Linked DNA regions of Drosophila melanogaster. The protein of the gene in region 2 interacts with the protein of the main gene of each other region in a pairwise test. Each region holds a gene or a part of one and is shown on either strand. Other genes may lie near its edges.

Region 1 (3,758 bases), on a different chromosome or scaffold from region 2:
GTAGTAAAAGCGCGTGGCTTCGTCGCTCAAGTGGCGCACGCCAGTGGTCACGTAGTGGCGAACGCGCAAGTAGATCTTGGGGCCCGCCGCATACTTCTCCAGCTGCCGACTGAGCGAGCGCTCCAGGTCGATCCATTTGAACTCGTCCTCCTTGTCCTTGCCCTTGACCAGGTAGCGCAGTCCAAAGAACTCCGGCTGCTGGATTAGCAAACGTTGGCAAACGTTGTCCAGGCACTCCTGTCCCTTGCTCTCCGAGCTGATCGTGCAGTCCACTGTGCTGGATGTGTCTGCAATGTAGGTAAGAGTGAAAACGTGCTTCAAACATCGGCCTAAGTCGCTCCAAGCACTCTAAATTCGCCGCACAACAACAATTTGGCCCTGCCCGTCGCACGCGCAAATATGCAAATAAAGTTTATAATCTCTTTCGAGACCTTATACGTTTTATGGACGGAAATTGTGGCGGCGCCGCTCAATTGGCTTCTCTCATCTGTCGTATTTCCTAACTAACGAAACGTAGGCCTAATGTCTAAAACCTTTCTGATGGTTGGAGAAATTTGGGTGGTTTTAATTGAGTCAAGGTCTTCAGTTCGCTTGCCAAATAAGTACATTCGGTTAAGTGTATAAGAACTACAAAACATGCTTTTGTTTAGCCCAAAATCGAGAGTAAATAATATACAAAATGTGAAGTACGCAAAGTTAGGAAGTTCTCATAGGCAGTCTGTTAGTTTTAGAATTAACGGTCGCTGTTATGTGTCCTGTGCGCCTCTGTTAACTCAGCGACTGTTAACTAGAATGCAACAAGTGAAGGCATTTTTGTGGTCTGTGCCTTGGAAGGCGAATTCCAGCTAAACTGGAAGTGGGCGCCGCATGACAATCGTTGTGCACATTCCCAATTAAATAATCCCAATTGCAATGGCAGACGGCAGCTGTTAAGTTGTGGCTTTGTCACCGATTTCTTGTTGTTTCTATTGTCTCGTCTCCACTGTTGCTATTGCTGTTGTTGTTGTTGTCGTTGCTGTCGCTGTTGTTGTTGTGGGGGGCGTAGCGCCTCTAGGAATGTGGGGCTTACTCACCCAGCAGGTGATGCACTGATATAACAAACAAACTCTTGGACGTAACATTGTACTGGCGACACTTTTTCAAGAATTTCAATGGCATTTTTCGACTATTTTGCTCCACCGGGGCTCCGCTGGGCTCACAAAAGTGGCTAAAACGGCAGCACCATCGACACCACAGGTTTTTTTTGGGGGAGTAAATTGCTCAATTGGAATTAGCCGATTTGAATCAGCTGATTAGACACGCAAACCAGAGCACTGCGCGTATTGGTTAAGTAAAGTTAAAGATAGTAATTGGGCAGTTAACGACAATAAATAAAGGAATTCACGAGAAATAAAACGAAGAGACCGAAGTGCTGATATCGATACGCAGGTGCTGACTGAGTATCTCGGTGGCTGGCATCGAATGGATCGATAGGCGGCATTGACTATCGGTATGTCTTTGCGCAGTGGGCTGCAAGAAAATAGGTTTAGTTCTGTTAAAGAAAACAAGTGCAACCAAGAAATATGTAACTGAAACAAAACAGTTTATATTTTAAAATATATAACAATGCAGTCAGCAGTGATTAAATAAAATTCCTAAAGATATTAAAACCACTGATACACACGAATACTTCGTTGTACACAGCAAGAGAATAACGGTTTCTAGCGAACAGTAAAATATCAAACTTAACAGAGCTACTGGACACATAGGTGGCGTGCTGGCATAGCTCTGTTATCCGTTCCAACTCCAGTGCTGGAAAGTGCGCGCAACTGAGAAATCCACACCGCGATTCGACGACGGTCCCTCTGGAATTCAGTAATTTAGTACTGCTGCTGCCGTGGTAGTCGTCACTTCCCCTTTGCACTTGCCGCCCTCCGTCAACGTTTTATCGAATAAAGCGAATTAAAATTAAGATCGTGGCTTCGCCCCGCTGCGTAACTGAATAAAGCGAATTTAAATCAAGGGCTTTGACGTCTGCCAAGCTGCTGAGAGGGGCTGCAACAGGAAGAGCACCAGAGACGGGGCACAAATCCACATCCACATCCACCGATCGTCGTCTATCTACAGAGGATTAGGAGCAGCGCAGTCGGAGATCGCGATCGGTGAGTTTCGAGGAGCCGAATCACAAGGCCACGCACTGTCGAAATCCAAAAAGCAAAACCCGATTACCAAAATCGAAATCCAGTCCATAATTAATTTGCTGCTTAGATATTTCGAGCGCTGCATTGGCGGTCAAGGTTGCAGCGACGAGGACAGATGATGGAGCAACCGTATCGCTCACTCGCTCGCTCACACACACACACACACACAGAAGAGCCCTGCGAGCGAGTTTAAAGTTCAGTACCTGTTGCTGCGCTCGCCCAGTCTCCCTCTCCCTCTCGCTCTCGCACAGCCTCGCCGCCGCCCGTGCGATAGTGCGCTCTCGCTCACTCCGTCCGCGCTGCGTGTAATTTAATTTAATTCACTTCTGTTATTAATTTGCGCTATTTGCACGCTGTATCGCCGCCTTTCACGTCTCAAACCGAGTCGTAGGCCGAATTGCATAACCAAAAACGCGACTCGGGTCGCCAATCGGCCATCAAGTTACTTTTCTGCTCGTGGCTCTCCGCTGAGAACAGCTGTCGACTGTCTGCTTCCCGTACAGTAAGCACTCGATATGAGCGACGAAGCTATGTTCTTAATTTCCGTTAACCTGCCTTTCCTTATTCAAAAAATCAACATTTGAAAATCCTAAGTACACCAACTTTACACATTTTCCAATTGGAGTTGGCGTTGCATTTAGTTTCCAATTTATTAAAAACAATTTGTGAAAAAAGCCAACCGATATATTGTTTTATGCTAATTAAACACACACACATTAATGACGATGTAAACAAAATCCTAGTATCAAAATTTACTACAACGAAATTGAAAGTGGCTTAGTTCGAAAAGCCGAAGTGTGTATACTCTTGCTGCCTTGTATAACTGAACTCTGTAAAATCGTTCCATTTTGAAAGAACTAAGAACTTAGTAGGAGATACTGCAAGTCTAGGTATGTACGTACATACATATTTACATATATATAAATCAGTTAAAATATAAAAATTGTACATTGTTGTACACTTCCTAAGAACTTTTATGGATAAAAATTAGTTCTCTGAAATTCAAGTTCAAAGACAAACTAAATAAATATATTATATTATATGTTATGACACCCCATTATAGGGTTACCTACCTATTAAAGCTAGACTATTAGTTCTTCCAATTAAAGAACCATTAAAAGGGCAGGTTCCGTAATGGGATTACATTTAATGGACTTCGGTTAAAGTGAGCGCGGAGTTACATTTCATCCTTTCCAGACAGCCAAACTAGGTTTATGATAACGAAAGCCACTTGGGCGCGAAATAAATATGCATAGTCATGCTTACTTTATAATTCTCCGTCGATTCGGACGAGTAATTCGAGAGTGTCATCGTGTTTAGGGAATTTTAAAATCACATATGCCAAGCGAGATTCTAAGCGTTATCACGCACATTACAAGTGTGTAGGGTGATACTAGATGGGCGTTTGTTGTGACTAGATCGTAAACTTTGTTTGAATAGATGGCTAAGCAGAAATAACCAAGATCATTCATCTCATTCATTTAGATTAACTACTTAGTCGTAAACTAGAAAAAGAAGCACTCAAATAAAGAGTGTTTTTGGAGGAAACATATACACATTTGAACGAGTTAGGATCTA
Region 2 (3,638 bases):
ATTTGTGGTTGCATTGCACGTGATGAGCGACTTTCGATTTTCGAAGCCCCAGCAACGGAATCGCACCACTTTTATGCCTGAAAATCCAAATCAATACTGCCCAGTGGGTTTATATGTAAGTGAAAAACAAAACGTGCTAAATGGAACAATATTATCTGCTTATATTTCGATGAAATGATGCATACAGTTGAGATATGAAATTAAATAGGTGTCTAATATTTTGTACCCAGCAATATAGATCAATGCCCAAAAAAAAAATACGCACTTTGCATACTTTTTGACACCTATTCAAGCCGAAATTCAAAGCTACTTAATATTCAAAAAGTAGCATGAGGGTGTTAATTTGCGAGTAAATAGGGATTCATGGACTTGGGTTCATATCCTAGAACTATTCACCGAGAAAAGCCCTTAAAAATAGGAGAAAATGCAAGCTTTTAAGCTTTTGGCTAACCAACAGAGCCGGAAAACACACCACACCTGCAGTTTACAGTCGAGTATCTACCGAATTGAAATGATTTCGAATGCCTTTTGGGCACTGGGTCAGTGATTCTGACTTTGTGATTGATGAATATTGATTAATCTGCATGGGAAGTGGGAGGGGGAGGTGGGGTGGTGTACATCTAAGACCCAACTCGTCCTTGGCAGCCGAGCGTCTTGAGCCTTGAATGTTGAATGTTGCTTACTTCAGGGCGCTCGCAGGGCTTTTGTGTGTCAATGCACTTGGAACTAAATGCCAGCTCCTGGCTAAAGGCGGAGAAAAGGAAAAGGAACAAGCCCACTTTCACGGAGCAGCCCTTTGAGATGAATGTGTGTGTTCGAAAGGTGGGGTTCAATGGAGCTCCGGGCGGAATGGCATCGTACGTGTTCAAGTCGTACGGGGTTTTTAGCGGGGCCAATGCACTCCACACTCCACTCGCATGGCTTCCAAGAGAAGAGGAAGGAAGTGATGGTGGCCCAAGGAATTTCAAAATTAAAGTCACAGCTGTCGAGGGGAACTCATTAAGTGCGAATTAATTAGAGGCCATAGCTGAAAATACCTGGATGGCATTCTCGTAATTATATAAAGGTACTCCTCATTACACAAATGTGGCTAAATGCACATTCTTCTTATAAGTTCCCATTAACTAAATGCTATGTTGGGTTTATACATGATTTTCTGCAGTGTACAACTGGGTTGCACTCAATGATTCATTGGCCTCCAACAAAACTCCTGCCTTATTTAGCTTTTAAGGACCCTTGTGAGTTATGTGCTCAGTTCTCCACGAGAAAAGCGAAAGAGCTCATTTTCCCTGGGTTTGCGTAGCAGGTTGCACTTTCACTGTCTCCCCACCGGAAACCGTCAAGATTGCGGGATAAAATTCATTTTATGGCCATCTGTATTAAAATTATATCTCTAAGCCCTCAACATGATCGTAAAAATCTATAGTATCAATGCTGATTTGCTTTATGGCACCGATAAGATACTTATGTGTTTAAACAAATTGAATGTACCCACGTAGAAAATGATTTTATGAATTGCATCCGATGAGTAGTATTTAACATTAAATTTATTGTATTTTTAACTGATTCGCAAATCATTGAACACTGATAAGTTTACGTTTTTTATATTGCTGTACAAGCCTCTGCGTTGTTTATTTTTTGTCTTTTTGCTCCTATGTAATCTGGATGACATTAATTTACTGCCCTCCAGCTCAACATATGGGTAGTTTGACACTTGGTCAAGATAAGACAAGGGACTTCTTCTGTATATAAAGGCGCTTCGACATCGGAACACCATTGAGTTGCAAGACTTGACCAAGATGAAACTGTTCGTATTCCTGGCCTTGGCCGTGGCCGCAGCTACTGCTGTGCCCGCTCCCGCCCAGAAGCTGACCCCGACGCCCATCAAGGACATTCAGGGTCGCATCACCAACGGCTACCCAGCCTACGAGGGCAAGGTGCCTTACATCGTGGGTCTGCTCTTCAGCGGCAACGGAAACTGGTGGTGCGGTGGCTCGATCATCGGCAACACCTGGGTCCTGACCGCCGCTCACTGCACCAACGGAGCCAGTGGAGTGACCATCAACTACGGAGCCAGCATCCGCACCCAGCCCCAGTACACCCACTGGGTGGGCAGTGGCGACATCATCCAGCACCACCACTACAACAGCGGCAACCTGCACAACGACATCTCCCTGATCCGTACCCCGCACGTCGACTTCTGGAGCCTGGTCAACAAGGTTGAGCTGCCCAGCTACAACGACCGCTACCAGGACTACGCCGGATGGTGGGCCGTGGCCTCCGGATGGGGCGGCACCTACGATGGCAGCCCACTGCCCGACTGGCTCCAGTCCGTCGATGTCCAGATCATTTCCCAAAGTGATTGCAGCCGCACCTGGTCTCTCCACGACAACATGATCTGCATCAACACTGACGGAGGCAAGTCCACCTGCGGAGGCGACTCTGGTGGCCCCCTGGTTACACACGACGGCAACCGCCTGGTCGGAGTGACTTCCTTCGGATCCGCCGCTGGCTGCCAGTCTGGTGCTCCCGCCGTCTTCAGCCGCGTCACCGGATACCTGGACTGGATCCGCGACAACACCGGCATCTCCTACTAAGCAGTTGATGTTCCTTAATTCTGAGGGGTTTCTTCAATAAACGATTATAGCAAGCAACTCAAGTTCTGTTTTTGGGATGGGATTCAGATGTCTTCTTGCTTAAGTAATGAAATCAATAAAATATTTCCAAGTGAAGGGAAATATATTAAACTGCAAACGGAAATAAACTTATTCCGATTTCCGATTTATGTATCGGAAAAAATCAAGCTTTAGGAACACATAATGACGAACCATCGGACTATATGCAAATATATATATATGGATCATACGTCTTATTATTATGTATTATTATTATGTATTGTTTATAATTATTATGTATATTATGTATATAAAAAGCAAACTGGATTGAAAATGGTGTATGTAGAATATTGGACTTGTTATATTTGCAACATAATTAAAGTGCATAAACATAATATAAATTTATGTTATTATAAATAGCTGCAAGTGGACTTTCCTAGCTTAAACAGTTTTAAATATAGGAATACCCTATAGTCGCTACTAGCGTTCAACAGCTATCATATGGATAGAATATAAAAATAGGATATAAAAATAAGTTAAACAATCTCGTTTTAAAAACATTTAAGGAAAATATGAGATTACTTTTAGTTTTATAATATATGTACATTTAATGTACATAATAGAATATATAAATATTTAGCTCTCAATAATGTGCCCCTCAATCTACAACTGAATAAATAGTTTGGTCGAATTTTTCATTTTTGCTATAATCGTTTATTGAACATCAACTGCTTAGTAGGAGATGCCGGTGTTGTCGCGGATCCAGTCCAGGTATCCGGTGACGCGGCTGAAGACGGCGGGAGCACCAGACTGGCAGCCAGCGGCGGATCCGAAGGAGGTCACTCCGACCAGGCGGTTGCCGTCGTGTGTAACCAGGGGGCCACCAGAGTCGCCTCCGCAGGTGGACTTGCCTCCGTCAGTGTTGATGCAGATCATGTTGTCGTGGAGAGACCAGGTGCGGCTGCAATCACTTTGGGAAATGATCTGGACATCGACGGACTGGAGCCAGTCGGGCAGTGGGCT
Region 3 (3,758 bases), on a different chromosome or scaffold from region 2:
GATTGTTTTGTGTTAAACCAGAAATGAGTCTATTAAGTCCGAAAACGAAACTAAAACCATATTGTGAAACAAAAGGAAGCTATAAAACGTTTGACTCTGTCCGCCATTAAAGTGGCATCTAAATAAACATTTTATGGTTTTTGAAAGGCGAAACTTTCAAAAGCTTCTTAATGAACACGACAAAAATCCACAATGGACGGGGGCATTTTATGAGAGCATCACCAAAAATGCTCCAAGAAGGCGTGGAGCAGCAGTGGCAGCTGTCAATATATGGCCGAAATATGTAAATTATTGATTGTTAATTCAAAGCGCCACGATTAGTATAATTGTGTATTTCTCTTTCAAATCCTAAACATTTTAATGCCATAAAGTTAGAGCAGCATTTCGCCTTTTGAATATTTAACCAATTGCGTGGTCTTGGTTGTGTTTTTACGACCATTTTTGCTTTTTACGATGATGCGGACCCAATAGAGCAATTTAACCAGAGATTATGACTCCTATATTTGATTTCTTAAATTGCCCTAACGTGGGAGCTATGATTTAGATATTAAACTGCATATGTACATATTAAGCATTAAGAGAAATTTAATCGGCAAACTTGAATTACAAATTTGTTTTTTTTTTATTAACATTTTTTAATGTTAAAGATGTTACGATATTACTTTCGAACATTCCATTCTTATTGCATTTATAGCATCTAAGTGAGAAACTAAAATTGATTTCAGTGTGCAAAATGAGGGATAAGTTCGTCTCAGACATTTCCCGTCATCATGTGCAACCCGAGATTTTCATTTTCGCCAGCTGTTTTCTGTTTACAGTGGGGAAAACTCTCTCTGCGAAGTGAGGGAAATACACCAAATCGTGTTCTCTCCACGGAAATGGTTCTCTCGTTTGGTGCTCTAAATCATATTTCCTCGGCTTGCAGTTTTTAACACATTCCCCAACCCCTCCTCACACACACTCTCACACTGGCACACCAACGAGCGCCACACACACGCCCACCTGCTCGTAAACAATTATGGCCGACGCCGTTCCGCTCTCCACACGCACACAGGCGCCATGGCTGCACACACATGTGTGGAAATAAATTCCCCACAAAACACTGTGAAACAACAACAACAGCAACAAAATTACCCAAAATGGCTACACAGAAGCGGCGATCGTCCAATGAGCGTGTTGGTGTCGGTGTGCCCAGCGTTGTGTGTGTTGTGTTGGCTCTATTTTTAATTTCCAATATTTTATTTACACATTTCTAGAATTTTTTAGCTTTGTACTCAATGATAGCGCGCAAAGAAAAACTTTCCAACTGGGCGTATACGCAATATTTAAAACTTATTGCTTGATCTAAGTGTGAACTTACTTGTGCTCAGAATTACAAATTTCCAAAAATCTTTCCCTACTATGTGTATAATAAATGTTTAAGATTTTATTTAATAATATTAAAAAATCCTTATAATTCTTGGTACATAAGTATAATATAAAAAAATGTTTCTTAAACAACCGGGTACCGTGATTACCCTTCATTTTATTTATCAAATTTAAAGCGGAAATATACATTTTCAAAAATATCCAGAAATTTCCGTTACTTCCCATCGTCAACACTGCTTCTCCGTCACATAGTATCCGTCTACTACTAACCGCCAATTCTACTACGCTTTTTGGCTCTCAGCTCCCACGCGAAATTCGCTGCCTCAGCAAAAAGCATGCGCGCTCAGCAAAGAGCGCAGAACTAAAAACGTTTGCTCTCGTGCCCCAACTACTTCGCTCTTTCGCTCTCGCGCCCTAAGAAAAAGGGGAGCGCATGGCCTCGGACAACAACAAAAGCACACTTGTTGAAAACGAAAACGGCCACAAACAACAAAGAGCGAACTGGTTTTCAAGCGAGCGCGAAACTACTGAGAGAGCCGATTGGAGAGTGGGGGTGATACGAAAAGAGCGAAAAGGAGCGTGCACGTCATGTTGTTTATAGATTTTTAGTCGAATTTCGTTATTTCACGTTTAAAGTTCGTACGTGCGCTGAACGGACGGACTGCTACGACCGGAGTGTTGTGTTGTGAGTGCGAAAGCGTAAAATCGGCCAGGCGGATACATATGCACTTCCCCCAAACGCAAAAAAAAAAAAATTTTCAAAATATATACGAGAAAGTCAACACAATCGCCTATTTTTTAAGTCGTTTTCGAGTGATCCTTGTGCTTTATCAAAATTAGACTGAGTTTAAAACAAAGTATACATGTGAAACAAAATTAGCTCAGTAAATAGCAAACTTTTGGATAACCCCACGTTCCCGGAACCATCTAATAACGTACGTGCCTCATCATAAAACGCGCCCTCAACGAGGCATTCGAGCGAAACCACTAACCAAAAACGGCCAAGCCAAAGAAATAAATAAAGTACATACATACCTATGTATATCTAACAAAAGGAAAACCCATAAATGAATACATTGTAAAAGCCCATGCGTGAATCAAACGTAAATATTGTAGATGCAAGCCAGCAAAGAAAGTAGTGTGTAAATTCTTTTTTACACACATATGTATCGTGTACACATATAAATAATAAATACCGCTGAGGCAATTATAATACTTAATGAATTTATTGCACAATTAAAGCGAAGCCAGCATATCACAACAACAAATTAATATGCCGCTGGCGTGAAAGTCACAACTCGACGCATGAGAAATCCCCCCTGCGCCACAGCACTGAATTATTAATGAAATCGAATTACAAACAAAGCCCAGCAAGCATCAGCAATAACGATTGCGAATCGAAATCGGAATAAATAATAAAAAGAGGAAAAATAAAAAATAAACACAATAATAAATTATCATAAATAAGTACTCACATCAACGAGAACCGCGAAACGTGGACGGCTTAATCAGCGAAAAGTCAGGCAGCTGGAAAATATTTCAAGCAAGGCGCAGGCGCCGCTTTTCACACGAGTTGGCAGCACACGCCACATAAATTGGCACTTACCGTTAAGCGCACTGCCGTACTTTGCGGTCGGGACAAAAGCAACAACCACTCAACACCTCCACCGAACCACCAAAGAAAAGCCGTCAAAGTGGATTTAACAAATTATAATAAAATGCTGCAATCCAGCAATCATCATTATTTAAGACCGGATTATATGACAGCTGCAGCTGCCCCAACAGCGGTAAGCCCATCTCTTTGTCTCATTTTTGGGGTTTTTGGGGATAATTCTCACAAGGTATTTTATTCGGCAATCAGAAATTTATTGCGTTTATATGGACTTAGCGCTTATCGCCTAATACAGCTCAGTGATTATTGCGATTTCTTTTTCAGTGAGTTGGTTTAGCTATCTAATATGGGATAAAATATTAATTGAAAGGGATAGGTATCTGATGAACAGTTTCGGTTAAAAGTCATTAAAACTATTATTTCAAATATTGATTGGTCTTAAAATTTAATAATATTCTTAAATGTTGATAAGAAGACGTAAATTTCGTATTATTTGTTTTCGCATTCTTCACACTCTCTTCAGAGATTATTATTTCACTTTGGTGTTCCGATCGTTAAGTAGAACAAATCTTGTTAAGGGTTAAGTTCTATATATATCAAAATATGAATAAGAAAAATGCCAGAATAGTCATGGTTTAAACAGGATAAGAAGAGTAGTACAAATTCTAGCAATAACACCCAATTCGCTACGTTCGATTATAAAACTTGCAGCTATGAATAACAAACTATCGACATTTCAGACATCTGAAATAGATTGTCGAGCCATATTTCATATATA

Evidence for each region.
Region 1: the proteins of Jon99Ciii (region 2) and Pez interact in a two-hybrid assay, tested with the Drosophila melanogaster proteins (one large-scale study listed by BioGRID).
Region 3: the proteins of Jon99Ciii (region 2) and elB interact in a two-hybrid assay, tested with the Drosophila melanogaster proteins (one large-scale study listed by BioGRID).

Annotation. Positions count from the first base shown.
Region 1 is NT_033779.5:6,336,985-6,340,742, forward strand, and holds the start of Pez (Pez), read right to left. Parts: upstream 1,688-3,758; 5' UTR 1,664-1,687; intron 1,510-1,663; 5' UTR 1,159-1,509; coding exon 1,074-1,158; intron 288-1,073; coding exon 1-287.
Region 2 is NT_033777.3:29,920,443-29,924,080, forward strand, and holds Jon99Ciii (jonah 99Ciii), read left to right. Parts: upstream 1-1,773; 5' UTR 1,774-1,799; coding exon 1,800-2,597; 3' UTR 2,598-3,013; downstream 3,014-3,638. Other genes in the region: Jon99Cii (jonah 99Cii), read right to left, coding at 3,348-3,638. UniProt on the Drosophila melanogaster protein: Major function may be to aid in digestion.
Region 3 is NT_033779.5:14,407,765-14,411,522, reverse strand, and holds the start of elB (elbow B), read left to right. Parts: upstream 1-1,973; 5' UTR 1,974-3,086; coding exon 3,087-3,155; intron 3,156-3,758. UniProt on the Drosophila melanogaster protein: May negatively regulate Notch-induced cell proliferation in the eye-head primordium. May act in leg and wing primordia to negatively regulate body-wall specifying genes and thereby promote appendage formation. Required for tracheal development.